Canis lupus familiaris: one gene and its partners. The protein of the gene in region 7 purifies or fractionates together with the protein of the main gene of each other region. This does not show direct contact. Links are inferred from orthologs where the notes say so. Each region holds a gene or a part of one and is shown on either strand. Other genes may lie near its edges. The genes, in order: RNF11, PTPN14, SMAD6, PTPN21, TXNIP, SPART and WWP1.

What was found.
Region 1: the proteins of WWP1 (region 7) and RNF11 purify together in Homo sapiens (affinity purification with mass spectrometry; 3 studies listed by BioGRID, with this or other methods). This does not show direct contact. The link is inferred for Canis lupus familiaris from reciprocal best matches to the Homo sapiens genes WWP1 and RNF11.
Region 2: the proteins of WWP1 (region 7) and PTPN14 purify together in Homo sapiens (affinity purification with mass spectrometry; 3 studies listed by BioGRID). This does not show direct contact. The link is inferred for Canis lupus familiaris from reciprocal best matches to the Homo sapiens genes WWP1 and PTPN14.
Region 3: the proteins of WWP1 (region 7) and SMAD6 purify together in Homo sapiens (affinity purification with western blotting; 3 studies listed by BioGRID, with this or other methods). This does not show direct contact. The link is inferred for Canis lupus familiaris from reciprocal best matches to the Homo sapiens genes WWP1 and SMAD6.
Region 4: the proteins of WWP1 (region 7) and PTPN21 purify together in Homo sapiens (affinity purification with mass spectrometry; 3 studies listed by BioGRID). This does not show direct contact. The link is inferred for Canis lupus familiaris from reciprocal best matches to the Homo sapiens genes WWP1 and PTPN21.
Region 5: the proteins of WWP1 (region 7) and TXNIP purify together in Homo sapiens (affinity purification with mass spectrometry; 4 studies listed by BioGRID and IntAct, counting the BioPlex papers as one, with this or other methods). This does not show direct contact. The link is inferred for Canis lupus familiaris from reciprocal best matches to the Homo sapiens genes WWP1 and TXNIP.
Region 6: the proteins of WWP1 (region 7) and SPART purify together in Homo sapiens (affinity purification with mass spectrometry; 5 studies listed by BioGRID and IntAct, counting the BioPlex papers as one, with this or other methods). This does not show direct contact. The link is inferred for Canis lupus familiaris from reciprocal best matches to the Homo sapiens genes WWP1 and SPART.

What each region holds. Positions count from the first base shown.
Region 1 is NC_049236.1:10,032,379-10,036,372, reverse strand, and holds the start of RNF11 (RING finger protein 11), read left to right. Parts: upstream 1-1,194; 5' UTR 1,195-1,298; coding exon 1,299-1,421; intron 1,422-3,994. UniProt on the Homo sapiens protein: Essential component of a ubiquitin-editing protein complex, comprising also TNFAIP3, ITCH and TAX1BP1, that ensures the transient nature of inflammatory signaling pathways. Promotes the association of TNFAIP3 to RIPK1 after TNF stimulation.
Region 2 is NC_049228.1:12,220,824-12,224,323, forward strand, and holds part of PTPN14 (tyrosine-protein phosphatase non-receptor type 14), read right to left. Parts: intron 831-3,500; coding exon 687-830; intron 1-686. UniProt on the Homo sapiens protein: Protein tyrosine phosphatase which may play a role in the regulation of lymphangiogenesis, cell-cell adhesion, cell-matrix adhesion, cell migration, cell growth and also regulates TGF-beta gene expression, thereby modulating epithelial-mesenchymal transition.
Region 3 is NC_049251.1:31,364,635-31,368,789, reverse strand, and holds the start of SMAD6 (mothers against decapentaplegic homolog 6), read right to left. Parts: upstream 2,801-4,155; 5' UTR 1,598-2,800; coding exon 772-1,597; intron 1-771. UniProt on the Homo sapiens protein: Transforming growth factor-beta superfamily receptors signaling occurs through the Smad family of intracellular mediators. SMAD6 is an inhibitory Smad (i-Smad) that negatively regulates signaling downstream of type I transforming growth factor-beta.
Region 4 is NC_049229.1:60,038,125-60,041,624, reverse strand, and holds part of PTPN21 (tyrosine-protein phosphatase non-receptor type 21), read left to right. Parts: coding exon 1-17; intron 18-3,082; coding exon 3,083-3,211; intron 3,212-3,399; coding exon 3,400-3,500.
Region 5 is NC_049238.1:59,434,007-59,438,236, forward strand, and holds the start of TXNIP (thioredoxin-interacting protein), read right to left. Parts: upstream 2,801-4,230; 5' UTR 2,512-2,800; coding exon 2,262-2,511; intron 1,751-2,261; coding exon 1,678-1,750; intron 1,568-1,677; coding exon 1,420-1,567; intron 1,201-1,419; coding exon 1,098-1,200; intron 965-1,097; coding exon 708-964; intron 616-707; coding exon 459-615; intron 351-458; coding exon 199-350; intron 58-198; coding exon 22-57; 3' UTR 1-21. UniProt on the Homo sapiens protein: May act as an oxidative stress mediator by inhibiting thioredoxin activity or by limiting its bioavailability.
Region 6 is NC_049246.1:4,340,956-4,344,455, reverse strand, and holds part of SPART (spartin), read right to left. Parts: intron 1,148-3,500; coding exon 953-1,147; intron 1-952. UniProt on the Homo sapiens protein: Lipophagy receptor that plays an important role in lipid droplet (LD) turnover in motor neurons.
Region 7 is NC_049250.1:33,146,069-33,150,331, reverse strand, and holds the start of WWP1 (NEDD4-like E3 ubiquitin-protein ligase WWP1), read right to left. Parts: upstream 2,801-4,263; 5' UTR 2,672-2,800; intron 1-2,671. UniProt on the Homo sapiens protein: E3 ubiquitin-protein ligase which accepts ubiquitin from an E2 ubiquitin-conjugating enzyme in the form of a thioester and then directly transfers the ubiquitin to targeted substrates.

The DNA of each region.
Region 1 (3,994 bases), on a different chromosome or scaffold from region 7:
CCTTCCTTTGCACATATTGCTTCTCGGGCTCTTTGTTCACTCAACCAAGAGGGCCTACTGTCCCTTAGGCAGCACCCAGGCCGTGCACAGAGGAGGGACAGATGATTCGGCTCGATCAGGCTGTGATGGGGAGAAGCTCAGGGACGAAGGGCATGGAGAAGGCCACCAGTCCAGACTGGAGGGTTAGAGGAAACGAAGTTGAATTTAGGAAGGACAACTGGGAATAACGGTTAGCCTGATGGGGGGTAGGAGGTCTGGCGTGAAGGCGAAGCGCGCGTAGGTCGGAGAAGCAGTTCGGGTGAAGGCCTCAGCCGGAGGGAACAGTCTTCTAAGAGAACCCGAGGTACTTTAGACAGCCCGCAGTTAGATATCTGAGGGGACAATGCTGCTAATGAGATTGGGGAAGTAGATCTGTAAACCGTTTAAGAATACTCCTAACGGTTTGGGTAAGCCAGTGAAGGTCTTAAATGGGGGGTCAATTTATGTTTTAAAAAGATCGCGCAGCTGTGTGAACGGTGGCCCGGCTCACGGGCGAGCTTGGACTTTATTCTGAAGGGAGAACGGGGAAGAAGCCTCCCTAACATTTCAACCCGGGAGCGACCCGTTGGGAGGAGGGTTTGCGAGCACATCACCCGGCCGGCGGCGGGCAGGAGGCTGCCTGAGGCGCGCCCGAGGGAGCAGGGACCCGCGGGAGGGAGCCCGCAGGGCGGCTTCCGAGGCCCGGCCCCGCCGCCAGGGCCCCGGGAACAGCCGCCGGGCGGGAGGGGGCGCGGCCGCGGCCGGAGACGCCCAGGGCTCGGGCGCCGGGGGCGGGCCCGGGGCACGCACGGCGCGTGACGCACGGCCGCGGCCCGCCTCGTTCTGGCCGCCGCCGCCGCTCTGAGGCGGAGTAGGATGAGGCCCGCGGCCGCGGCTCCGGCGTCGGCGGGGGCAGCAGCCGCTGAGGCAGCAGCTGGGGCAGCCGCGGCAGCCGCGCCCCCCGCCCCTGACCCGCGTTAGGCCCGGCAGCTCGGTGGCCGCCGCCGCCCCGCGGGGGGGCGGGGTGGGGAAGGGCTCCGTCTCCCCGCCCCCCCCCCCCAGTGCCGCCTCGCAGGAGGCGCCCGCCGCGACCCCAGCGGAGCCCAGCCTTGAGCCCCCGGGCCGGGGCCTGGCATGAGCAGCCCTCCGGCGGCGCCGGGGCGCGGGGGAGCCGCCGCCTGAGCCCGGCCTGCCGCCGACCCCGCCTCGCTGGCCCGGCGCGTGCGAACGGCCCGCCGCTGCTTCTGCCTCCTCCGGATCACACCTCGTAGCCTCGGAAGATGGGGAACTGCCTCAAGTCCCCCACCTCGGATGACATCTCCCTGCTTCACGAGTCCCAGTCCGACCGCGCTAGTTTCGGCGAGGGGACGGAACCGGACCAGGAGCCGCCGCCGCCATATCAGGTAGGGGAGGCTGTGTGTTGGGGAGGAGCGGGGCGAGGCGGCCCGAGCGGGGGGTGGGGGGGCGTCGGGGCCGGAGGGGAGCGGGGGAGCCGAGGGGGGCCGAGGGGCCGGGGGGGCGCCGAGGGGCTGTCACCGCCCCGGCCTCGCCGGGCCCGGCCTGGGGGGCGGCGGCCCTAGGGCGGGGACTGAAGGTGATCGCCGCCCCTCCCGGGGTAAGGGGGACCCTTCACCTCCCATCAGGAACGGCGTGGGGACGGCCCTCTCTGTCCTTGAGTTCTGGGATCCGAGTGGTGACAGTATCCTCCTCGCTTGTGGAATTTGGGGATGACCTCGTTCCGCCTTTATGTCTAAAGCGTGGAGTCTGGTATGAGATGTGGGGGACGTTTCCTCATCGCGCCGCCGCCTGGACTGTGGGTTCTGGGTAGGTCGTTGCCCCCCACCTCCTCGTCATGTGTGGCCATCCGCTCCCCCACCCCTCCCTGTACCCTGTGCGTTAATTGGATCTGGTAGGTGCTCATTTCTCCTACATGAGAAAAGATCAAGTGGTGATTTTAGTGCTGGCGACATCAGGAGTTACTTGTTTATACATATGTGTGTGTGTATGTATTAATTTTGATCCCTCCTCCTCTCGCTCCACCCTATGACACACCTTTTAAACGCGCTGATTCAATAAAACTTGAGTATCTTGAACTTTGGAAACCTTTAAACCTGACTTGAATATCTTCTGTTACTCGTGGTTCTCACTTCGTATCAAAGACTTGCTCCTAAACAGTTTCATCGCTTTTTGTACAGCAATCCGTCCTATATATGTTTACAGTTAATAAAAAAGCTAAGATCTCTTGAACTCCAAATAGATAATGTAGATCTTATTTAGAATATATAAAAACCTTTTCTCTACTTTTCAATTTTGAATGATATTGGTTAGCTTTTTTTCCAGAGGGGTTTAAATAGTTAAATGCCTTAATTTTTTAGCTGAAGGGGGTTTAGTTTTCTAACCGGGCAGTCTCCTTTGTTGTTTCATGTGGTGACATCATTATCTAGTGTTATTCTTCTCTCATTCCTGTGTAAACCAGTGTCTCATCACACCAGAAAAACCTGATCACATATCCTGGTTTTGTGAATAAAACCCTCAGGGTCCTTTCATATATATATGCCAATAAAGTCCAGTCTTAATCGTGGCATACAGAAGCCTCCATGGTTTATCTTTCACATTCTGTATTTCAGGCCTGCCAAATACATCAGTTCACATCTCTGCCTTTGCTCCAGTTGCTCCCTCTGCTAGGATCCCTTCCCCCAAGGTCAGCAAGGTGAACATCTAATCCTCTTTAAAGACTCAGCTCTCCTGTCACCACTCTCCCAGGTCTCTACCTTCCCCTCCCTCCCTCTGTGAATCCATCCCTCAGTTGTTTGTGTAGCACCCTCCACCCCCCCACCCCCATTCCATAAGCAGCACAAACAACACTTGGGGTGTTAATATCTTTGTTTTGTTAGATGTAGGTTTCATCCTTATGGCATTTCCTTCTGCCTCCAGTGTAAGCTGCTGGCAGGTAGGGACCCTTATGTCACCTGCTATGCTGTTACATCCCCAGCATCTGGCTCATAGTAAATATTCAGTAACTTGTGGGATAAGTGAAGACTAAGCTCTTAAGAACAAGGACTGTATCCTCAATGTTTCATGAAATTACTGGCACTTAAAAAAAAAAAAGAAATTACTGGCACTTAAGCATTTAAATGTTGAATGAATTAATGAATTTGAATTCAGTACCTTGTGTGGTAAGTTTACACACCTGTTTCTTCCAGAGAGTGTCACAGGGAAGTCTTTTCATCTTTTTGAATCTTTGAAGCAAGTAAATTGTTTATATTTCACTTTTCATTTCCCTCAAATACTATAGGACAATGTGCTTATTTTAGCTTCCTGAGCAAATTTTTGTAGAGGTATGATTTTTATTTCAAAATCTCCTTCCATACTCCCTAATCCCTTTCCAGGCAAATTAAATATCCTGAGTTCATGGCCCTTTTTCTCTTACCCGCACGGTAATACAGTGTTAAGGATAACTTAATTTTTAGGAATTGTATTTGGTTTTTCCAGGAGAACTAGGTGATAGATTTTTTTTTAAATCATGAAGGAACATGTTATTTGTGACAGCAGGAGTTTTTGTGGTTGCCCTTTTTTGAAGTGAGTGACCCAGATACTGATGCAAATTTCGTATCAATTGAAATAAAACTTTAATGGGAGCATAAAGAAACTTTTGTAGAAAAAGCTTTGTCCCCTCCCAAAGGAAATAAGATTTTTAGGAATGGTTAATTTAAATGATCTGAGAAACACCAGTCCAAACACCAGTCCAAGAAATGATTTATATTTTCAGTGGACAGAAGTAACATTTTTTCTTCAAAAATAGTATATAATTAAAAGAGCTACAAGAATAGCATATTTCTTGAAAGAATAGTCTCAGCTGCAATAGGATCTTTAAAAATCTTTAAAGCTGATTATAGAGGAACACAGTATTTTTCTGTAGTGGGTGGTTAAAAGATGTCCTTTTTGTGTTGCACGGTGTAGGCTAATGCTAAGAGCT
Region 2 (3,500 bases), on a different chromosome or scaffold from region 7:
TAGTGATTCCTTAAATGATTCCTCTAAAGTCCCTTCTGCCTTTAAACCTTTCTAATACTTCATATATACTGGCAGAAATCTCAAACAGGAATATTACTAGCACTCCATTAAATTTACATGTTTCACTGTACAGTAATTTTAGGAACTAAAGGAGCACACCTTTCTTCACTTCCAAAACACCACCATGCAGTTTCTTCCTGCTTTTCGAAACCAACATTCTCACAATGTGTTATCCTAAAAATTATAAATCAGCCGCATTTTATAGTCAACCAAGGGGACAGTATATTAAAAGAATTCTATAAATGTTTAGGTAAGATATTCACTCCCTGATAAAGGGTAATGGTTTGCAAATTTCATAGAAGTTCAGAAACTACAGTAATGGCTTAACTTCCTCATCTTGCAAAAAAGAGAAACAGGCCCAAAGAAATGAAGTGACTTGACCAAGGCAATGCAGCTTGTTTCAGGCTGGTCCCGTTAGGCAGGCTTCACTACACCAACTTGACAAAGAAACTTGAGATGCTGGAAAGAATCGATTTAATACAATGCACACCAGGTCTTGCTAATCTCAAATTGGAGAATTAATTCATCAAATAAACCTTAGTGCCGGCATGTTTGGGCAAGGATCAAGCTCTGGAATCCCAAGACCACAGAGAATGAATCACGTGTTTGACAAGCCCAGCGCTTACCCTCTCGTCCATGGGAACTCGGGTGGCATCAGCTCGATTCTCTTCCCGCCCCGAGACCCGGGCAACTGAGAGTCCATTCAACGCTACCAACATGAGCGGCCGCTTCTGTGCCTCCAGGCTTGCCATCTTCTGCTTCTCTAGATTCTTGTGGCAAGAAAAGGCATGTTCTCATTGTTTATAATACGAGTAGAATGCTGGAATGTGTTTTAATCTCCCCAAATCTGTAACTGCCCAGCCAAGGAATGCAGACAATCACCATTAGGAGGGCAAATTCAAACACAACCTTCCCATTATTCCCACTGTGCCTGAGGTAGCCAGGTCCTACAGGACTCCTGAGATTTTATCTAAAAATGGATGCATGAATGAACTAACAAACAAACAAGTAAGAGCAAAGACTACCTACAAATATCCCCCTGCCATGGAGCTCACTCAAAAAGGGGGCCGGGGGAAGCAAAACAGTGTACAAGCAAGACATTTCAGGAAGGTAAGGGCTGAATGAAGACAGGGCAAGGGAAAGAGAAACAGTTTTCATGAACAATTCAATCCAATCACAGTGATGGACCTTTTATACAGATTAAATGATTAAAAAAAAACCTTATAGATACCACTTGTAGCACTGTCAAGAAATCAAGACTCATAACCCATACAGAAAAATCTTCCCAAGTTTCCATTCTGAGAGGCTGTCAGATGGAGGATGTCAATCCTATGCTGACGCTCTGGTCCCTGGGATAGCATCCCCAGTACGAGGGCTGATGTGGTTTAGCAGCCTTGCCAACACCGAAGTCTGTGGTTGTCTAACATGATCCATGAGGCATTATCCTTCATGCCGCATCAGAAGGCCCCAAGGAGTAGGCACCAGGGCTCCCAATGACCATGGTGGGAAATTACTGAACGTGATGCAACTATGGGAGAATACAGATTTGGGGGCGGAGCAGGCCAGTCAATAAGGAAAGGGTTGGAGGTCAACACATGGTCCTTGTGTGTGGTATTTTGACTTCCTCTCCATCCTCACCTGCACCAACATTCTGAAGTTGGTCAGTCAAGGCTCTCGGTGTTAAGTCTACTATTGTAATTCCTTATGCCTCCCCAAATGGACTGAGGTATAAAAGAAATCTCCTTTTACCCAGCAAGCCAATAAGAGCATTTCCCAAAAATAGTTTTGTCTTGGAAGACAGAAGAATAGCAGGACTTCCGAAAGCATACAAGCTGAGGAGTTAGACAGCATTTAAGATTTTGATTCTAACAAAAGTAAAACCACTTTGTAGATTCCTTTGGCTGCCCCAGAGGAAGGGGTCATCTTATCCCTGGTTTCTTTTCAAGGCTTTAGGGTTTTTTTTTTTTTTTTTTCTTAGTCTGTCATGTATAAATTTAGTCCCCAGTGAGGTGTGATGATGGAGCCATGGTACTGGCAGATGACAAAGAGTTAGTGGATTATTCTAACTGGGGGGACGGGCTGGCATTTCCACCTTACATGAGGTCAGCCTCTCAAAACCTCTTACAGTCAAAATGGAGCTCTGGCCTTTCTGAGTGATGCTTTATTCAGTGACAAGGCCAACCCATCAGACAAACTAGGTAACCAGGGGAAAAAATTATTAGCTACCTCTTTTAATTGGGAACATTTCACTTCCTCTGTGACATTCTGAGAAAAGCAATCATTTTGCAAGAAATGTCCCTAAGGTCCTCCAAATAGTCCATCTGCTTCCTTCCCATCTGGATCGAAGTAGGCCTAAGGCAAAAAGTAACTAACTAGTCTTCCCTGGAAGGATTACTAGTTACCTGCTGAATACTGAAATCCCAGGGATAAACAATTTCTCTTAGTTCCTTCTCACTTATCCCATCAGCTTGTTACCAGAGATAAAAAATAAGTAACTCAAAAACCTGATTTGGACTTTTCTCTTCCTGGCACCCGATTTTGGGCTCCAGGGCTACAAACAGTGAAATGGCCTCAAGGCAGCAGTAGGAGCCAGAAGGAGGAGCTATCACAACAGCAGGCAGGAATTGTCCATCAAATAGACGAGTGGCTCCAAAATTATGGAGAGCTGCCTGCAGGGGACATTCTCACCATCCCTGTCCCCCTCCGGTTCCCATTCGGTTAAATTTTCTCACTGTTTTTTTTAGCCTAGAGAAGCCTGGACAGCCTTCTCCATTCTTACTCATTCCTAACAAGCCAGGCAAAAGCTGCCCACAGTGGGGAGGGCAGAAGAGCATCTGAGATGTGGGAAGGGCATGGGAGTAAGTTTCCTCATTAAAAAAAAAAAAAAAAAAAAAAAAAAAAGGATGAAGAACCATCTCAACCTTCAGAGTCACTGCCAGTGTCACCATCTTGATCCACACAGTGGCTCACTGAAGAACCTCCTAGTCCTTCTCTGGGGTCAAGGCACCAGCTAAGGGTAGTAGTCCCTGAGCTCCTGAGTATATTTAATTTGGAAAAACAGAACAAAACAATGGGAAAACAAAGTAGGAATGGGTAATGATGTTCCTGAGCTACAATTAAGAAATGAAACCAGTTATTCATTATTGTTCGTATGAAGGGGGGGTGGGGACACACAGTGGAAACTCCCTTGCATCTCTGTGATGGTGCATGAAGCTCTATGTAGGGAGTCAGTGCCATGGGTTTGGATACAGGGTTTTGTTGAGTATAGGTTAACAAGAGGAGAGGATGAAAATGACCAATGTGAGGCTATGGGACCATGCAGGCATCAATAAACATCAGATCAGCAGGGGAAACAGCAAAGCAGAACGCTTGGATTCACAGGTTCTCAAGTTGTGGTAAAGGAGCCTGGGCCAGGACGTGCTGAAAATCCATTTACCAAT
Region 3 (4,155 bases), on a different chromosome or scaffold from region 7:
CCCAGGGAGAGAACAAAGAAGGGAGGCAGTTCTCAGAGGTAAATAAAATACCTGGCTTCCTCCCCTCCTCCACCTCGGGACAGTCCTCCAGGACCCTCAACTCCAGAAAGACTGGACACAGAACTGACAATGATGGGGAGGAGGGGGGGGGGGGAGTGGGGGGCTGACATTTGACACCCAAGGGATGCTGGGAGCAACCAGGGCAAGAAGGTGGTCTCCACTCGGAGAGAGCATTGCTCCAAACTATACAAAGGAACCAGTGTGGCAATTTATGGACACTTCTGACTCTAGCCATGAACTGTCTACGCCCAATTTCACAACTTGTATCTACCTGGATATAGGAAGGTACAGCATAGGTAGGAGCATAGGTGTACCAAATGCTACAGGCCTGGGCACAGGCTGGGGGTAAACCTGGCGGGCGTGGGGTGTGGGGTGTGGGGTGGGGGGCGCGCGGTTGGATGACACTCGTGTGCGGCTTCTCCCGGGCCTGCCCTCCTCCTCCACGGCCTACAGGAGACCCCCGAGGCCGCGGAGGGACGCCAACGCGGACCCTGTTAGGTTTGCAGGAGCCTCGGGAAGGTGCCGGAGACGCGCTTCCCACGGTGGGCGCCGGGCCCCCGCGCTCCGGGAGCCCAGCCCGCGCGGGTGGAGGGCGGGGGTGGGGCAGAGGGGTGCAGCCGCAGCTCGGCCAGCCCCGCGGGGTCCCGCAGCGGAGGGCTCCCCGCGGCGAGGGGCGCGGAGGGGAGCCCCCCCGCGGGCGCGCGCGCTCACCTGGCCCGCAGAGCCGGCTGAAGTGGTAGGGGTTGCAGCACACGGTGGGGCCGTCGGCGGCGGCGGCGAAGCTGTGGCAGCCGCACAGGGGCTTCAGCTCCACGGCGTGCTGCAGGTCGGGCCAGCGGAAGAGGCGGCCGAGCAGCAGCTGCGGCGGCGCGGGCTGGCCGCCCAGGCGGAGGTCGGCGCGCGGCACCAGCACGCAGCCGCCCGGCACGCCGCCGCGGGACTCCACCGCCTCCAGCAGCGTGTCCAGCGAGCGCTCCTTGAGCCGCTTCAGCAGCGAGTACGTGACCGTCTTGAGCTCCTGCTCGAGCAGCAGCAGCCGCGAGCGGGCTTCGCGGCTCCGCCCGCCGCCCGCCGCCTCCGGGGCCGCCCCGGGCGGGGGCTCGGCGGCGTCCCGCGGCGCGCCCGCGGCGTCCCGCTCCGAGAAGAGGCAGCAGGTCACCGTCTCGCAGTCGCTCTCGGGCAGCCAGCCCGGGCCTCCCGGCTCCGCCACGTCCCGCGGGGAGCCCCCGGCGCCGGCCCCCGGCTCGGACAGGGGCCTCGGGGGCCCCCCTGCGCGCCGGCGCCTCCCCGCGCCCTGGGCGCCTCGCTGTCCCGCCGCGTCCCGGGGCCGCCGCGGGGCTACCGGGCGGACCTCGCAGCGGCCGCCGCCCGCGCCTTCTCGTGCCCGCGGGGCCGGCTCAGCGCGGCTGCCCGAGCTCCCATCCTCGCCGCCGCCGCCGCCGCCGCCGCCGCCGCCGCCGCCGCCTTCCTCCCGGTCGGGGACCACACGACTTCGCCAAAGTCGCCGCACCAGCCCCGAGCGTTTGGACCTGAACATACGATATCCTTTGGCGCCGGGGGTGGGGGGCAGGCGGTCTCCGGTTACCGGTGGTCCGTTCGGTCAGCGAGGCGCCGGCTGCGCGGGCCGCAGCCCCACATGAAGCTCCGCCGCCGGGCGCCGTGCAGGTCGCGCACAGCCTGTCGTCGAAGGGGCGCCGCAGGGCTGCAACATGAGGGAGCTCGCCGGGCCGGGACGGCGGGGGACGCGCGCGCGCCGAGCCGCAGTCCGCGCTGGGCCCGCGGCTACATGGACCCCGGCGGCCCGGCTGCTCAGCAACTCCAGCCCCGGCGCTGGAGGGGGGACTGCAGGCGGCGCCGCGCCCCGGAAAGACCCCGCATGGGCCGGCGAGCCTTCAGAAGTTGCGCGGCTGGTCCATGAGCACAAAGCGCCCGCGCCGAACCCCCCCGAGGCGTCGGGGCAGCCCTGCCTTGGAAACCCAAGCGCTTAACTACATGGGCTCTTCCTGCAGGAGCCGAAAGGCAGGCTTGCTGATACCCTCCGCTTCCTTCTTACTCCCTGCAAAAAGGAAGGGGGGGGGGGGGAGAAAAAAGGAAAAGAAAAGAAAAAGAAAGAAAAAAGAAACCCCAAACAAAAACCAAAATCCTGGAATTGCATGCACGGAAAGCCAACTCCGTCTCAGGTCCCAGGCGCTAGATGCACTTGGAGCAAGTTTCTCCTGAACGCGGGTTGTCAACACATGAGTGGAGACTGTAAAAATCCCAAAGAGCTGTTGGGGATCCTTAATTAAAAATGCAATCCACCGAGGCAGAGGTCGCAGCCCGCCCCACGCTGCGCTCGGACGCCCGGGGCGCCGCGGCTGCAGAGGTCGGCCCCCTCCCCCCTCCGCAAAAAGTGCCTCCCGGTGGCCCCGCGGTCCCTGCGAGGTCTGGCGAGGCAGCGCCCGGCGGCTCTTTCTCTCGGCTCGGCTCTCTCGCTCGCTCCCCCGCTCGGCTCTCTCTCTTTTTTGTTCTCCTCAAACGCACACTGAGGGCCCCCGGAGGAGCGCCGCGGAGTCATTGGCTGCCTCCCATCATATGCCAGTCTAGACACTTTGGCGGCTCCGCGGCGCTGATTGTTGCGCAAACAAGGTTTCAAGTTTCTTAACTCTTAAAGGAGAACACGTCCCATTGCAGGGCCCGAGGCTCCGAGGGGCCGGCTCCCGGGGCGGGCCGAGCCCGGGCTCCCGCCCCACGCTCGCCCCGGCACCCCCGCCCCGAGCCTGACAGCGCCCACGGCCCGCTGTGGGGCCCGCGTTGCGCCGCGGGCACGGATACGAGCGAGCACCCGCACACGCCCGCGCGCGCGCACACACACACACACACACGCGCGCGCGCGCGAGTTACACAAACCACGGGCAAGCGGCGCGAGGGCTCCGTGGACCCACTGAGGCTTGGATGCAAACGCGGCGCTTCGCCTCTCCCTGGCGTGTGCGCAAACTTGCAAACACGCATTGCGCTTTAGAGTTGGTGCAAACCCCCCATCCCCGGGAAGGCTAATTTAAAAAAAAAAAAAAAAAAAAAAAGGGTGTGCGTGAGTGCCTTCCCGGCTGGAGTCCCTGGGGAGAAGGGGGGGAGGCTGATTTGTTGGGGTAGCGGGATCCTCCGGGATGGCACGAGGTCTCCGCACCCCCCTGCGCAGTCGGGGGTCGCTGCGCCGGGCCACGGGGGCGACGCGGGGCGCTGGGCGCACGGGGGCACCGGGCTTGCCCGGGGTAGGGAGTTGCAGGGGGTGGGGTAAGAGGCGGGGAATGTCTCCTCTCCGGCTCCTCGCGGTCGCCCCGGCCCTCCCTCGGAGCTAGGCGGACCGCCAGCCGTCCCGGGCCCCCTCGAGGCCGGGCGCTTCCTCCTCCCCTTTCCCCAGATTGATTCTCTGCACCCCCGAGCGGGATGTGGATAGGGGTCGTGCTTCCCCCGCCCCCGCCCCCGCCCCCGCCCCGCGACATCTCCCCCCAGGGAAATACGAGTGAGTTGGGGGCAGGGCAGGGTCCCGCCCCACCCGGCCCTGGGGGGGCTGGGGGGCGCGGCGGCGGCAGCGGCCGCCCGGCGCGGGAAGGGTTAAGGCCGCTCCTGCCCCTGGAGCCGGCGCGGCGGGGTACCTCCTCGGGCGCGCTCGCTTGTCCGAGGGTGGCAAAAGTTCAAGCTTGTAAAGTCGGGATTGGTCCCGCGCGGAGGGAAAAAAGGCCTGGTCCCCCCCTCCCCCCCCGGGCGCGGCGCCGATTGGTCCGGCCGCGGGGCGGGCACCGCCCTCTCCCCAGAAGCGCGGCGGCCCCGCCCCCGGCGCGGCGCCCCGCCCCTTTCCGGGCAGCAGCCCGGCCCCGCACTGAATGAAAGAAATTCCGCTACTCTCATTGGCCCGGGGCTGGGCGCCGGGCCCCGGCGGGGGCCGCTGGGGCGCGGGCGCGCGGGTCGCCCCCGGGTGCCCACGTGTGGGGCTGGCCCTTGCACTGTGCGGCCCTGCGAGGACCCCGCGGGGCGCGAAGTCCGCGTGAGCGCGGGGGGAAGGGCGGTGTGTGCAGGAAGGACTCAGAACCATTTGCTAAGTTTTTACCTGCAGCC
Region 4 (3,500 bases), on a different chromosome or scaffold from region 7:
ACGCGTCACATATTAAGGTGAGAGGAGCGAGCAGGGCTACAACAGGCTGTGAAGTTGTGAGTTCAGCTACAGGAATGATGAGAACTGTATCCACGTCTATGTTCTAAAAACAGGCTAGTTGGAACCATTGGGACAAATTATGTTATTAAGCTGGGAAATCCATACACCTGGCCGGGTGGGAGGTGTTTTACCAATAGAGCCAAAGCCGCATTCGCCCTCCCACGTGCTAAGCCCTGTGCCCCCCACACTGCTGCCAGGAGTCAGGGAGCACTCTTTGGCCTGACCTGAGGACCTTAGGACTTCGTTCTTCTAAATCTAGAGATTTCTTTCTGGCCCATCGATTATCTCCAGAGTGGCAGAATGGCTAGTTTTTCGTGATCACATACCTGCATTGATTCTTATGTGGCAAAGATGTCTGGGTATTTTGGTTTTTGTTTTGAAATTATTTGTATATATAATGATATATTAATTATTAATATATTATTAACATATTACAATATATAATATGTTAATAATATATATAAGTATATATTTATATTTATAGAGCACACGTGAGAGAGAGCACACACAAACGTGCGTGAGCAGAGAAGAGCAGAGAGAGGATCTTTTCTTTTTTTCTTTTTTTTCTTTTTTTTTAATATTTTTTATTTTTTATTTTTTTTTGAGAGAGAGGATCTTGAGCAGGCTCCATGCTCAGCACAGAGCCTCGACTTGGGGATCAGCTTCACAACTCTGAGATCATGACCTGAGTCAGAACCAAGAGTCTGAGGCTTAATGTACTTAGCCTCCCAGGAGCCCTGTCTGGGTGTTTTTAATGGTGGTCACCAAACCTTTTCCGCGTGTCGTCTGTTCTCTTTGCATCATTCTTGTCATCACTAATTTTTTTTTTTTAAGATTTTATTTATTCATTCATTTATTTATTTACTTACTTATTTAAACATGAGTGGGGGTGAGGGTAGAGGGAGAAGCAGGCTACTGGCTGAGCAGGGAGCCTGACTTGAGGCTGGATCGGGACTCTGGGATTGTGACCTGAGCCGAAGGCAGCCGCTAAACTGAGCCACCCAGGTAGCCTTCCTGTGATCATGTTTTGTTTTGTTTTGTTTTTTTAAAGATTTTATTTATTGATTCATGAGACACAGAGAGAGAGGCAGAGACACAGGCAGAGGGAGAAGCAGGCTCCATGCCGGGAGCCTGACGTGGGACTCGATCCTGGGTCTCCAGGATCACACCCTGAGCTGAAGGCAGCGCTAAACCACTGAGCCATCCTGGCTGTCCTGGGATCATGTTTCAATATCGTTTTTGTTCTTTGTGGAAGCGGTGCCGCTTTTTCCCGAGGGGCAGTGTGATGCCATTGAACTGGGGTCATGTTACACCCATTAAAATGGGAAAAAGTGATGATTCCCACCTGGTAGGTGAGGGAAACCAGGGGCTCTCTCTTCTGCATCATTGTACATTTTGCATGTGCTGCTTGGAGATACAGTCCTTTTATTTTGAGAAGGAGAAGCTTCCTTGTTGGGAGTGAATGAGGAAGTATCCATGGTCAGGTATCTATCTTCTTGCCCACATCTTATTTCATTTGCAAGTGGTATCTGATGAGCGCAGTTTCACACTCGCTTTCAGAGACCTGGCAGTCTGCCTGTGGATGCCAGTACCCTTCATGGTCTTTGGGAATCTGCATGTGCTTTTTAATATGGGTATAGGGGCACCTGGCGGGGGCTCAGTTGTTGATCATGTCATGATCCTGGGGTCCTGGGATCGAGTCCCGCATCGGGCTCCTTCTGCCTGTGTCTCTGCCTCTCTCTGTGTCTCTCATGAGTAAATAATATCTTAAAAAAAAAATAATTTGGGTATAATTTATTTAAAAACCAAGCATTTCTGTGGAATAACTCATCCAGCCTCTTGTGACTGGATGGGTGAGAACTGAATCAAGTTGTCCTGTGTGGGTATTGCAGAAGCTACCGAGGTCAGCTGAAGAGCATGGAAGATGGCCAAGCCTCAGAGCTCCTAGATCTGTTACCTGTCAGCATGGGGCTCCCTGTGCTTTCCTCTGAATAAAGCGCTGACACCTCCCCTGGGGTGGCCCCAGACCCCCACCCACACCCTGTTACTCACTGTGGTGCTGGTAGCACCGAGGGAGCCCCTCTCAGTGAGATTCCAGCCGGTGGCCCTGAATGAAAGTATGGGCAGAATAACCCAGGCACTGTGGTCACCAACATGGGGCGGGGGGGGGGGGGGGGGGGCGGTGGGCTTTAACCCAATCTCCTGGCCGTAGATCCAGCAATGGCTCTGTTCCCTTAGACTGTCCTCAAGGGGATGCAGCCTCAGGTGGAAGCTTAGTGTCATTCTGGAGGGTGACCTTGACTTAGAAGTTCAGAGGGGAGACCACTTTCAGTAGGAGTATTTTTTTCTGCCCCAGAAATCTGGCATTTAACCTCGGTTTTGGCTGGATTGTTACTACTTTGCCTACTGTGTTTAGTACTTCATGAAGGGAAACTGTGTTTGAAATTTAGGATACTGTTATGGTGATACTGTTTTTCTAAGAAGAACCGTAACAGCAGCACTAACAACTGTGTATGGAAAACCTATTGATGTGCAAGCACCTTATACACTGACTAATTTAGTCCTGCCAACCACCCTATGAGGTACAGGACATTTTTATCTTACACATGTGAATAGAGAGAGAGGTTAAGCAAATTGCCCCAGGTCATGTAGATATGTGAATTTAGAGTCCATACATTTATAATCCGGTAGTAATAGGAATTGTATTAACAAGGAAAAAGAATAAGAGAAATCTTTATTCTGAATAACTCATTTTTTAGTACCACCATAAATGAATGTGCATACATGTATGCATATCTACATAAATACACATTGATTAATTTTTAAAGATTTATTTATTTAGAGAGAAAGAGGTTGAGAATCCTACGCAGACTCCCCACTGAGCTGCGTGCCCAGCATGGGGCTCAATCATACGACCCTAAGATTATGACCTGAGCTGAAATCTAGGGTCGGCTGCTTAATTAACTGAGCTACCTGGGCGCCCCACATATTAATTTCTTTAAAAAATCTTTTCTAATTTCAGGTCTCTGTCAGTGGAATTGAGTGGGATTATATTGCCACGCAGGGACCGTTACAGAATACCTGTCAGGATTTTTGGCAGATGGTGTGGGAACAGGGAGTGGCCATTATAGCAATGGTGACTGCAGAGGAGGTAAGGACTCATCTCTCTTCCTTGATTTGGTCAGCCTGAGAGGAGCAGTTAATGTTGGTCACGGGGAGTCCTGGCCTTGAAGGAAGAAGGCAGAGTGGGGTTGCAGTTCTGTGCTGCAGACACACTGCGTGATGGGGCCCCCGTGGCTGGATGCAGTGCTGCGTCCTGACCGTGCCTGCCTTTAACAGGAGGGTGGAAGGGAGAAGAGCTTCAGGTATTGGCCACGACTTGGTTCCCGTCACAACACCGTCACCTATGGGAGGTTTAAGATCACAACCCGGTTCCGCAC
Region 5 (4,230 bases), on a different chromosome or scaffold from region 7:
TGCTTCTTTTCTTCCACAAGTTCACTGCACATTGTTGTTGAGGATGGAGGGATCCACCTGGAGTGGGGGGAAGAGAAACAAAAGAAACGATTATTTTAGTTTGGGTAAGAACTAAAACAACCACCCAGTTTAGCAGTCCTTCCCATTCAACTTCCTGTAAGAGGCTTAGAGGACAATTTGTAAAATGGCAATGATCACCTCTGTGTAAGTCGGTGGTGGCATGAACTTGAACTCAGGAGCATACATAAAAATAGGGCTGTCTTGGGAACCATCTGTGTCATCTAGTAGAGGAGTAGTGGGGCTCTCCAATCGGTGATCTTCAGGAATGATATCCATATAGCAAGGAGGAGCTAGAGAAAACATAGGCATAAGAAGTTTGGCCAAGAAATGCCTGACCGTCACAATTTCACAAACCCAAGCAGGTCAAAAAGGAAGAAAAAACATTAGGTCTGGCTCACCTTCTGGGGTATCGGGAATATTGAGATCTATCCAACTCATTTCAGAGCTGGTTCGACTGGCCATGCTCGATGTCCGACTGCTCAGACCTGATCTGCTACCGATTACCAGGGGCAGATCAAGGATGACCTTCTTGGAGCCAGGAACACTAACATAGATCTAGAAAGGAAAAATGACAGTTAGTTAGACTAGAGGTTTGGAGAAATGACTATTTTGACAGATGAACAATTTCTTGGACTCCATTCACTCACCAATAAGGAGTATTCAACTCGAAGGATGTTGCAGCCCAGGATAGAAGGCCTGATCTTTTGCACCCGAAGGCTCTTGCCACGCCACGATGCACAGGTTCCTGAAATGATGTGATTGCCTCTGACAGATGACAACTTCTGTGTCAGCACTTTGGTTTGACCATTGGCAAGGTAAGTGTGGCGTGCTACTATGGCAGCTTTGGGAACCATGATGCGCGAACATGTATTTTCAAAGTCAGCATGGATGGAAATTTCATCACCTAACAATGATAAAGACAAAAACTTATTAGCTGACGCTTAATACAATTAAGGACTTCTACCCCTATAGCCTGCCCTCACTCCCAAACCCACAGTTCCTGTTTTATCAGACTACCTTTTTAATTAAGTTTTTACCTTCACAAAATCCTTTTCTGTCAATTCGGGCAGAGACAGACACTTGTCCATCAGGAATAAACATGCAGGAAACTTTCTTCTCCTTTTTAGCAGACACAGGAGCCTGTGTTAAATAGGGGTAAAAAGACATTTTGAGACTTTCTAGAGATCCTTCTCTTTTTTCTTTCTACTCCTTACCTAGAATAGGCAACTTTCCCTCCCACCTTGGTAATCCATTTAGGACTGGATCCCCTGAGGTACATCAGTCTAATGCCTAAGACACTTGACTTACGACTTACCATCCCCGAAACCCAAGAAAACATAATTTTTAAATGAACCTCACCATTAAATCAGGAGTGTTGACATCCACTAAATCCATCACTTCAAAGAATTTCTTTGTCTCTTGAGTTGGCTGGCTGGGGCGATCAAGAAAAGCCTTCACCCAGTAGTCTACACACCCATATTTTCCTTTGAAAGATGTTCCCAAAGGCCTGTGTCAAGAAAAAAGAAGCAATCTAAAACTGTTCTCCAAGAACAGGTGATCAAAGGTGGCGAATTTTAGAGATAAGAAAGTCCAAAGATGCATTTAGTAGACACCTACCCCTGAGGAAGCTCAAAGCCGAACTTGTACTCGTATTTGTTTCCAGGTCTCATGATCACCATCTCATTCTCACCTGAGAAGAAAGAAGAAAGAATAGCCCATCAGGTTTCTTGTTTCACTTCAAATGCATCTGTGTGATAAGGAATTCCTGGGCAGCATGCAAGTCTATTGCAGGTCCCCTATTTTCACCCCCTTCTGTTCTTGAGAGATCCTGATGCATTTCGTTGGGCAAAAAGTTTCAAAGCCTTGCAATGATGAAAGGCTCAACCAGGGCAGTGAAGCTACTACCCTCTCAAACCGGAAACGAGCGAAGAATATGCAACTTATGCACACAGAAAACCTTTAAATAGTTAAGGCAGCATACCTCAGGATCACCTTCAGAACAGAACACTGTAAGAAACTGTACAAATCACCCCCCCCCTTTTTTTAGGAGTCTGCAAGTTAAAACTAAAAAAGGAAACAACATACAAGTCAAGCTACTCAACCTTAGCAGCTTGAAATATTCAGCATAAGCTGCAAGCATTCGTTTCAACTCTATTCTCAAATCAGCTTTCACCCTCCCGACAAACAACGGGGCCACTCACCTGTTGGCTGGTCTTCCAGGAGAAGCGTGTCTTCGAAGCGCAGGTATTCAGAGGTCTGTTTGCACTGTTGGGATCCCTGCATCCACAGGACTTTGGCCACTCCGCAAGCCAGGATCCTGACAGCTTTAACTCGAGTCACTTCGCACACCTCCACGACCACCCGGCCGGCCACTTTCTCCCCGCTGCCATACACCTTTTCAGGGTCGTTAAAGACCACCTCAAAAGACTTGATTTTCTTGAACATCACCATGATTGGCTGGGCTGCCTTGACAGTTATAAACGGGGGGGAGAGAAAAAACAAAACTCCAAATCCAAAAATGCTCTGCAAAAAAATTATTTCACTCTTCAACTCTCCGCTAAGATTTCAAAAAGATTTTGGAAAAAAATGTAAGCTGTGGGTGATGCCGAAGGATCCCCGGGGGAAAAAAAAAAAAAATCAGCTTTCTGTTCTTTTCTCCGACAGCTGGAGGAGCGCCCCGACTCTAGGAGAGCCCGAACGGCCCACCCCGCCAGAGGAGACGGAAGGAGAGTTGCGGGGAGCAGCCGGAAACTGCTTTATATAGTCGCCCGGGCTCGCCCGGCCACGCGAGCGCTAGCCCTGAGGCTCGTGCTGCCCTCGTGCACAGCCCTCCCATTGGCTGCCCGCCCCTTGTTTACCAGGAGCCCAACCAATCAGCGAGGCCGCAGCGGCGCGTGGACACGGTGTGCTCCTGGCGGGGAAAATGGTTGTTGTGCACGGCAGCCTCGCCGGGAGGAGGGAGCGGAGGGGCTGCGGGGCCGCCTCCCTCCGCCCGAGGACGCCCAGGGGAAGCCCGGAGGGAGCGGGCCCTCGCGGACCCTAGCATTTATCACGGGGGGTGGCCGTCGGGGGGCGGGTGCAGATGCTTCTGGGGTGGGAGCAGCGTTTGAAGCGAAAAGAAAATGTGCTTATGTGGGAATTTCGTGCCTAACCTCAGCCAGTGCAATAAATTTAGAGGCGACCGTTTATTTCCGGCTCACAAGTCGCAAGTCCGGTGAAAAATAATCCCTTAACTCCAAGAATACTTCAGAATTGGGGCAGAGGCCAGGGAGCTTTGGTGTGACTGTTGAGGAAGAGCCCCTTTGTCTTTCTCTTGCCCCCGGGTCTCTATCCAAACCCCTAAATACCGTGACAGAAAGGGGAACTTGTCACAAATTGTAAAGCTCTTCTCCGTCGTGGGTGGGCAGCGGTCCGGGGCGCTGCTCGGCTTTCGCGCTCCCTTTCCGGCGCCCCCGAACCTGGAAGCCCCTGTACCCTCTCTCTCCGTTCGCTCTGTTCTCCCTGGAACGGAATCAGGGCGTGTTCACATCCTGTTCCTTTCCCCCTCATCTCTTCAGTTTCTACCTGCAAAGTTGGGGGAACACTTTGTTTCTATTCCCCCAGTTACCAATATATTACTCTTTTAGTAAGGTATGTACTTGAAACAAGATGCTTCCCTCGTTTCACTTTCCTCCTCAGCTGCTTGCACTCTTCCTTGTCTTCATCCCCTCTGCAACTCACCAAATCAGAGGCGCATCTCTAAATCCGTAGCCCACACTCCTCACAGCCGAGTTAAAAGTTCTCTTGTTTATATGATCAAAGTGTCAGTAAAGAGATGGCTGCATTCCTGTTTGAAGGAAGAGTTTCCGTATCTTTTAAAAGTGTTTTTCTAAGCCCTTTATTTTAGAAATCCCAGTGAGGAAAGAAGACAAAAGGATCACTGTATTCAAGCTAAAAGAGACCCTGACTGATCACTCTTTATTGTCATTTGTCAGATTCCCCCCTCCCCCCAACCTGGCATGAGATGCCTTAAGGACCTGACTCCTGAGAAATTACTCATAAATGCAAAAACAAACAAACTTGCAGAGATAAAGGCACACATGGACGCACCCTTTTTTTTTTATTTTTATTTTTATTTTTTTTTGATTCTTGGGCCTCTCCTGTCTGTGTTGAAGTATCAGGAGATTTTTA
Region 6 (3,500 bases), on a different chromosome or scaffold from region 7:
AGAAAAAAATGTATTCTTCCCTTGATTTTACCACTCTTACTTATAAAAATTCTTACATGAGCATCTTACATGAGCAAACTTATTTTATTGCATAACTTATCATTTCTATATAAGGATGAGAACCATGGCTGGCTAGTTTTTAAACAAAGGCTCTTATTTGGTTTAAAGATATGTTTGCAGAGCCTAGTGATTAAAACCTTGCTTCTAAAATATAATTTTCTTTTTGGCAAGGTCCACCTTTCATATTTTCCAGTTATGTCCATTTCTATGTTTTCTCCATTTCAACAAATATCTCACTGAAATAGTAATAAGGTATTTAAGTCTATATAAAAGTAAACAAACCAAAACCTGATTCAAAGAATACTGAATACCAAAAAGATAATCTTCCTCTAATGATAATTCACTAAGGAGTGATCGGACTACCTTAAAATACAAACTTTAGATTTACGATTCTCAAAGGACAATGAATTAGTAGCATATTGCTTGGGAAGGCTGACACCAGAATCACTGAATCAACGTAGTTCAAATAAAACATCCCTCCCACTTGACCCCAACTACTATGCAGTGAGCTGTTCTTAAAAGAATGTATCCTATTCAAGGATAGCAAATATATTCAGAGCCATTCCTTTTGAAAGACACAGCACTCCTCTCTCTGATACACCAAAATAACCCTTTAACCAATGTTTCTCAAAATAATATGCAAACAACAATCACCTAGGCAGGGATCTTGTTTCTGAATCAGTTAATGTGTGCCAAGTACGTGAAATGTTTCTAAGGCTCTCAGATAGGTTGATGTTGCTACAAACCCTATTATGAGTAGCAAAGTGAAACTGTTTTGTCCTAATCCTTTACTTTTAAGGTTAAACCATCTAAATGAACATTCAGATTAACCTAGATTAAGAAGCCGTTTTTAATTTAACTGAAAAAAAGCAGTCCTCCAAAGTTACTTTACCCAGGAACTGACTGACTTTCGCTGCTCCTCCTGTAGCCTGCTTTGCTATATAAAGTCCCCTGGTCACAGCTGGACTAACTTCCACTGGTTTTTCTTCTGGTTGAATCCGTTCACGGAGTTTAGAAGCGCCTTTCTGGATTGCTTTGCCAGTAAATTCAGCACCTTTGACCAAACCCCAGCTCACCCAGGAAGCACCTTTTTATAGGAAAATTTTAAAGTGTACAATATTAGAGCTGATTATACCTGTAAACCCTTTAATAAACCAACAGGAAAACAAAAACAAGGAATTCACTGTTCATATCTCAAACATGCCATAAACTTTCAACTTTACAATTCTAATTTTCTAACTGGATTATATATCTAAGTAAATTCATCTTTAAGAACTTAGGTCACAGATCACTCAACACAGTTCTGAATTACTCTATGCTTCTACTACAACTTATAGGTATCTATCTACATGCTACTTACCACAATGTTACTAGTAAGGACTAATTTTGGGTTTTGATGCCAGTAACATGGTATCTAGCTTGAGGACCCAGGTATCCTTTTTCTTTTTGCTTTAGTCCAGGAACCACTTTTCCTCTATGAAGTGTTAAAGGGTTTAGACACAAATAATGCAAATTGGAAACCAGTAAACCTAAATCTCAAACACCAAGGCAGAACTCTTGCTTGCTTGCTTTGGATGAAAGGCATAAGGCAGGGGGTCCTGGTCCTCCCTCAATCCTAAACCCAAACTCCACAATCTCAGCACCTTTTAGCTTGTAACATGGACGTGAATGACAGACATAAGAATACTCAAAGAACGCATGAGAAGAAAAAATATAAGAAGAAAACTGGGAAGCCTAGATTAGCCATTTTTCTTGATGGTAGTTTCCAGCCCTTCAATGCTTCTCTTACAGCATGCATGAAAAATGAGATTGTGACAGAGAAAGCAGGATAGCATAGACTTCTCTAGTGAAAAGGTCCTGTGCACATGTGGGAAAAGGAGAAGTCAGAAGGAGATGGGAAAAGCAAGAAAAAATATAGAAGAATAGTTTCCTCTAAGAGGAACTGTTACCCTGCCTTGGAGAGCTTACAATATTAAATATTTCTTTTTTGGCTAAACCCTGAAACAACAAGCTTTTAAAGCCATACATATAAAATACCTAAGTATATTCTTCCAAGGTCTGTAGCATGGTTTTTACATAATTACTCTGGCCTATGAGTGAGCAGGCATTCAGCAATCATGTGAAAATCCTATTTATTTAAAAATGCTAACAATGAAAAATAAAGTGCCAAGTGATAACTGATTAGGAGAACTGTTGTTTTTCTTCCTATTTTAGTCAACATGTCTACCTCTAGCTCAAACACTAGCCTCCCTGGAGGAGGACCACGTCTCAAACCCAGACAAATACCATCCAGTCAGGAGTTCCCATAACAAAAAGGGATTGAAGACCTCTATTAAAAAAATACATATGGGTTTTTAGAGTTAACTTACAGGTTGAAAGATTTAGGAAGTAAAAAATCAGCTGAATTTGAAGAAGACTGAGAAATCATAAACGACAATGAAACAAAGGAAAGCTCAAGTAGACTATATACTCCTGCAATGAAACAAACCAGAGGGACAGAGTCCACTGATGACTAATAATAAATGGAAATTAGATAAATGAAAAGTCACAGGACTGATGAAGAGAAATAATTAGGATGCAAATTATAAAGCAGCTATCACCATGTAAGAGAAATAATACAGTAAAACCAAAGATACTACAATAGAAGATGAGAACATGTAATATTTTATTGGTAGCTATTAAGATCTTTTAAAGGGCATGTGTAGGGATCCCTGGGTGGCGCAGCGGTTTGGCGCCTGCCTTTGGCCCAGGGCGCGATCTTGGAGACCCAGGATTGAATCCCACATTGGGCTCCCGGGGCATGGAGCCTGCTTCTCCCTCTGCCTGTGTCTCTGCCTCTCTCTCTCTCTCTCTGTGACTATCATAAATAAATAAAAAAAATTAAAAAAAAAGAAATTAAAGGGCATGTGTAGTGCCAGATATAGATTTCTTTTATCCATATTCACATTATATGCATACATTTAATGCTGAGATATAGAAGGCAATGAATGTTTGCTGAATAAATAAGAAGTTGGCAGATGACTTAAAATGATTTCACTCAAATCTAACCCAATGGAGGGCTCTAATCAGTCTATTTTTTTAAAAGATTTATTTATTTATTTATTCATAGAGATGCAGAGAGAGAGAGGCAGAGACACAGGCAGAGGGAGAAGCAGGCTCCATGGAGAGAGCTCGACGTGAGACTCAATCCAGGGTCTCCAGGATCACGCCCTGGGTCGCAGGCGGCGCTAAACCGCTGCGCCACTGGGGCTGCCCTCTAATCAGTCTATTGTTACAGATCCTCCACTTCTTCCCAAATCAGCTTACTAAATTCTTCATCTAAAATGTTTGGCAGTTGCCTTCTTAAAATGTAATTCTAGCCTTTCAAACCAATATTCTATATAGGTAAGTTTTAAGCAGTTACTTTATGTTTTTTCACCTTTTATATTTATGAAACACAG
Region 7 (4,263 bases):
TTAACCTCTTAGGCTAGTCTGTTATATAATAGCAAATAACAGTACCAATTCTTGGTAAACTGTAAACCACAACACAAAGTAGAGATATTGTATTTAAGTGTATATAAAGTAAGTCTCTACAGTAGGGGTTATCAGTAAATGGAAGAATTTGAAAATTCTATGGTTTTAAAAAGCCTCCAGTAATCCTGAGAGCTGCTCCTAGCCCAACCTACTGACCCTTCCATAGGTGAGCTTCAGGTGAGTTCATGGACTTCCCTAAAATTATATACAGAAAGCACAGGTGCATATGGAAATTTTCCATGCCAGATTTTTTTTAGTTTCACCAAGGATTAGCAATCACCAAAAGGCTAATAATTACTGCTGTAAAGTAACATACATCTGCCGAAGATAAAGCTTCCATGGATACTGTTCAAAATGGTACCATTATTTTCCCAACCTGGGTCAGAATCTGTTATTTTTACTTTCTTCATTTTTTTCTCTGACCATCAAATTCTGTCCTTTCCATTCCTAATATTCCAGCCTTAGTTCAGACCCTCATTACCTATGACCACAGCAATCAAGGTCTTTCTACCTCCAGATTTCTACTTCAATTCACAGTACACGTTGCTGCTAAATTAATCCTCTGAAAACAGTATTTTAAGCTTTTCATTCGCAACTCAAAAAATCATCTGTAAAACCCCTCAAACCTATTATATCCAAGATCATTAGCCCAGCCTTAAAAGCAATCATAAACCGGTTCAAACTTTTACTTCGTTTTATCAGCCTTTATGTTAGTACAAATACTTTATGTTCCACCCAAATATAATTGTTTCCCTCTCCCCAAACATATGAACTCTGTGCTCTAATTTCTTAGTCCCTTTTCTCTGCTTGGATTACTTTTCTTGGTTTATCAAAAGTCTCAGTCACCCTTCAAAACAAAGATTTCAAAAGCCAGAAGCTCTATGGATTAACCCTCCTTACCTCACCTTGCCAAGTAAGATGTGAGCTCTTCCTCTTCTGAATTTGAATTCTATATGAAACGTAAGGATGTATTAAAAGATAAAGGAGGCATTTGTGATAGTCCTACCTGCCTAACTATTCTGGGAAGGCAGAAACTGCTGTACTCCATATTACTCCATCTACCTCACACAATCATGCAGGAGATGCTTAATAATTGTGCAAGGAAGTGAAGGAAATTTCAGCCTTCCTGGGGCAAAAAGCAAAGATCACTATCTCTCTGAAGGCAGAGAACTTATTTGTGACATCCTCTATCATACCAGGATTCTAAAAAACATAACCCCACTGCCCTTTAAGTCTTGGCGTTAGATGTCTTATAAACAGTTCTGTATTTTAAGGGAAAAGCTACGTGAAAACATCAATAAGCTACATACCAAGTAACTATTCTACATACTTTTTACACTTCTCAGTGTGAGTAGCTCCCAACACTCGGCCAGGAATTTTTCAGTTCAAAAAATATTAACTGTTTACGAGAAGTGATAATTTGCAGTCCCAACTAGTATCTACCTTACAGCCAAAGCAAAGTCACGTAAGAGAATGCCTTTATTTTTATTTTTTAAAGGTGCATTTTGCTTGTATCATCCACAGAGCCTTAGGAGACAGGTCAACTGGATTCCTACAGAAGGATGAGTGCTTGCAGAAACCCGCATACATTGTACAGCAGGTACTTCAGGTTAAAAAAAAAAAAAAAAAAACACCAAAGGGGGAGAAAAAGAGAACTTTGGACATTATTTTCCACTCTGACCAGTAGCTTTTTAAAGCCGAAACTCAAAATCTTTTTTTTTTTTTTTTTGCACAGTAGCCTACACACACACAAAAAAGATAAAAACTCACCAAGCAGAAAAAGTCACACCAAGCCCCTGGAAAATATTTTATCCTGGAAGAGTAAGAATGTCAAAATAAAAGACACTCGTCTTGGGTAGGAAAGGTTTCCCTGTAATTACGGAAGCAAAGGACGCTCAACTAACTCCAGACGATGGAGTCAAGGAAGGACTGAGGATCCTTCGGAGGTTGTAAAAAAAACAAAAAAACAAAAAAACAAAACAAAAAAAAACAATGGACAAACTACAAAATTAAAACCTTTTTTTTTTTTTTTTTTAAAGATGAAAGGAGAAGGTCCAGGTCACTGAGGAGATAAGGAGTAAAAACTGCAAGGTCACTGGGACCTACCAGGTCACACAAAGGTGGAGGTGGGGGTTGTGTTGGGGTGTGTGTGTGGGGGGGGGGGGGGACTGCAGAGTCAGGGAAGAACCCGGAGGGATCAAAACACGTCAGGAAAATAAAAACGCCTTTTTGTACGGCCGGGAGTCTTGCGGTGAAAGTCAGGGCAGCGGTGCAAGTCCACGCGCGGGGATGGCTTCGGAGGGGCGCTGCGGGGGGAGGACGAGGAGGCGGACGGAACGCTGAGGGGAGGCTGAGGGAGCCTCAGGACGGCGGCTGCAGAGTCACGGAGACCCTGGGCTCCTCCGGGATCCTCAGCTCGGGCCTGCGCCGGGGCCAACGCGGGGCAAGCCCCGTGACCCCACCCCAGAAAACTCCGGGGCCCCCGGGCCGGGGGGGGCGGCCGGCGCGGCGCGGACGGTCGGCGGCCGCCCCTCAGAGGCTCCGGCCCGGGGGCCGCCGCGCCCGCCCCCCCGCGCCCCCCGCCCCCCGCCCCCCGCCGCGGCGTCCTTACCCGGCGCAAAGCCGTCGGCTCCCGGCGGTCGGGCGGCCACTCCAGCGGCGGGGCGCCCTCACCCTTCCGCGCCCAAGATCGCCATCTCGCAGCAGGCGCGGCGGCGGCGGCGGCGGCGGCGGCGGCGGCGGCGGCAGCCACCCAGGCGTCGGCCCCGGCAGCCCAGGCCGCCTGCAGCCACTTGGAACCCGCTCGCCGCGCCGCGCTCGGCGACACCCGACCCTCCCCCCACCCCCACCCCGGCCGCGCGCCGCCCCCGGCAGACCCCACACCTCCCGCCTCAGGAGCGCGCCGCGTGCTCGCGTCACCGGCGCCGCGCCGCGAGCGCGCGCCTGCGCCGCGGCCGCCTCAGAGCCCCCCTCCCCCCACGCCGGGACCCGGAACCCGGGCTTCCCGCGAGCATGCGCAGCGAGGGCGCCCCCGCGAGGATGCTTTCGGAAAACTCCGCTCCTCCGGGGCTGCGGAGCGCGCTCGAGGAGAGCCGAGGGCCAGCCAATGGGAGGAGGGGGGCGGGGCCCAAACCTGTGGAGGGGGCGGGGCCACCGCTGAGATTTGGGAAGAGGCCTCTGAGCGCGAGGTGGCTGCTGCTGACCTGGCTTCCCCGTCCGTCCGGGACTGGGACAGCGCGGGTGAGCGACCTCGGGTCAGGGCCCCCGGCGCTGGCCTTCTCATCTCGAGTGCTTTACTGCAAAAGTAGGCTGTTTTTAATAAATACTCCTTGACCTGAGCATCTGACCTAGAACCCCACTGCAAGAGTAAATCCTGCATTTGACAGGTGGCCACAGAAGACTTCCACTTTACTCTCATTAGTCACCAAAACGTTCGCCCCCATAACGCTACGGTGATAAAACTGGTACTGAGCAGGCACAGGTGTCGGTGCAGCAAATTCGCACGGTGCCGCCATGAAAAAGAGTACATTCTCCCCATTTATAAAAACGAGTTAACTAAGTCTCTAGAAGTTCTGTTGGTTCTGTGCGTTGCTTTTAGAAGACCGCCCTGCAAATAGAAGTCATTGGTGACCACATTACTCACCAGATGACTGGTCTTCTACTTCAGAAATGAGAAAGGCCATCAAGCATGGGTTTCTACAATTTTGGCCCACCCGCCTCACCCACGCCCCATAAATTACCTACATCCACACCCGAGCCTATTGGTTTTCCTTCTGACTCCAAGGCTGGGTGTCTGCTTCTCTCCAAAGAGGACCTCGTTACTGTCCATTCCCTCCTGTGCCCCCTCAGCATGATGATGTTTTAATTATGTTCTGTCCTAAATTTCTCCTCGGCTTTAAAACCTCTCTCTAGTTCTCCCTCTTTTTCCATCCTAATTAAGCTCTTGAAAAAGCTATGTACCAAGAAGAGCATCAACGCCCCGTGAAGAATTGTAAGATTAAATAATAACTCTGATTGAAGGAATGTACCTTCTCTTCCTCTCCCTTCCATTAGTTTCTACACTCCGAATTGATACCAGGGCCCAACGCACACCATATCCACTACGATTATTCTAAAATACACACGTGAGCGTGTCGTTTCACTGTTTAAAATCTTTCATTGGCTCTTCAGAGCTTTCAAGAGAAGGATTAACATGATCTTCCA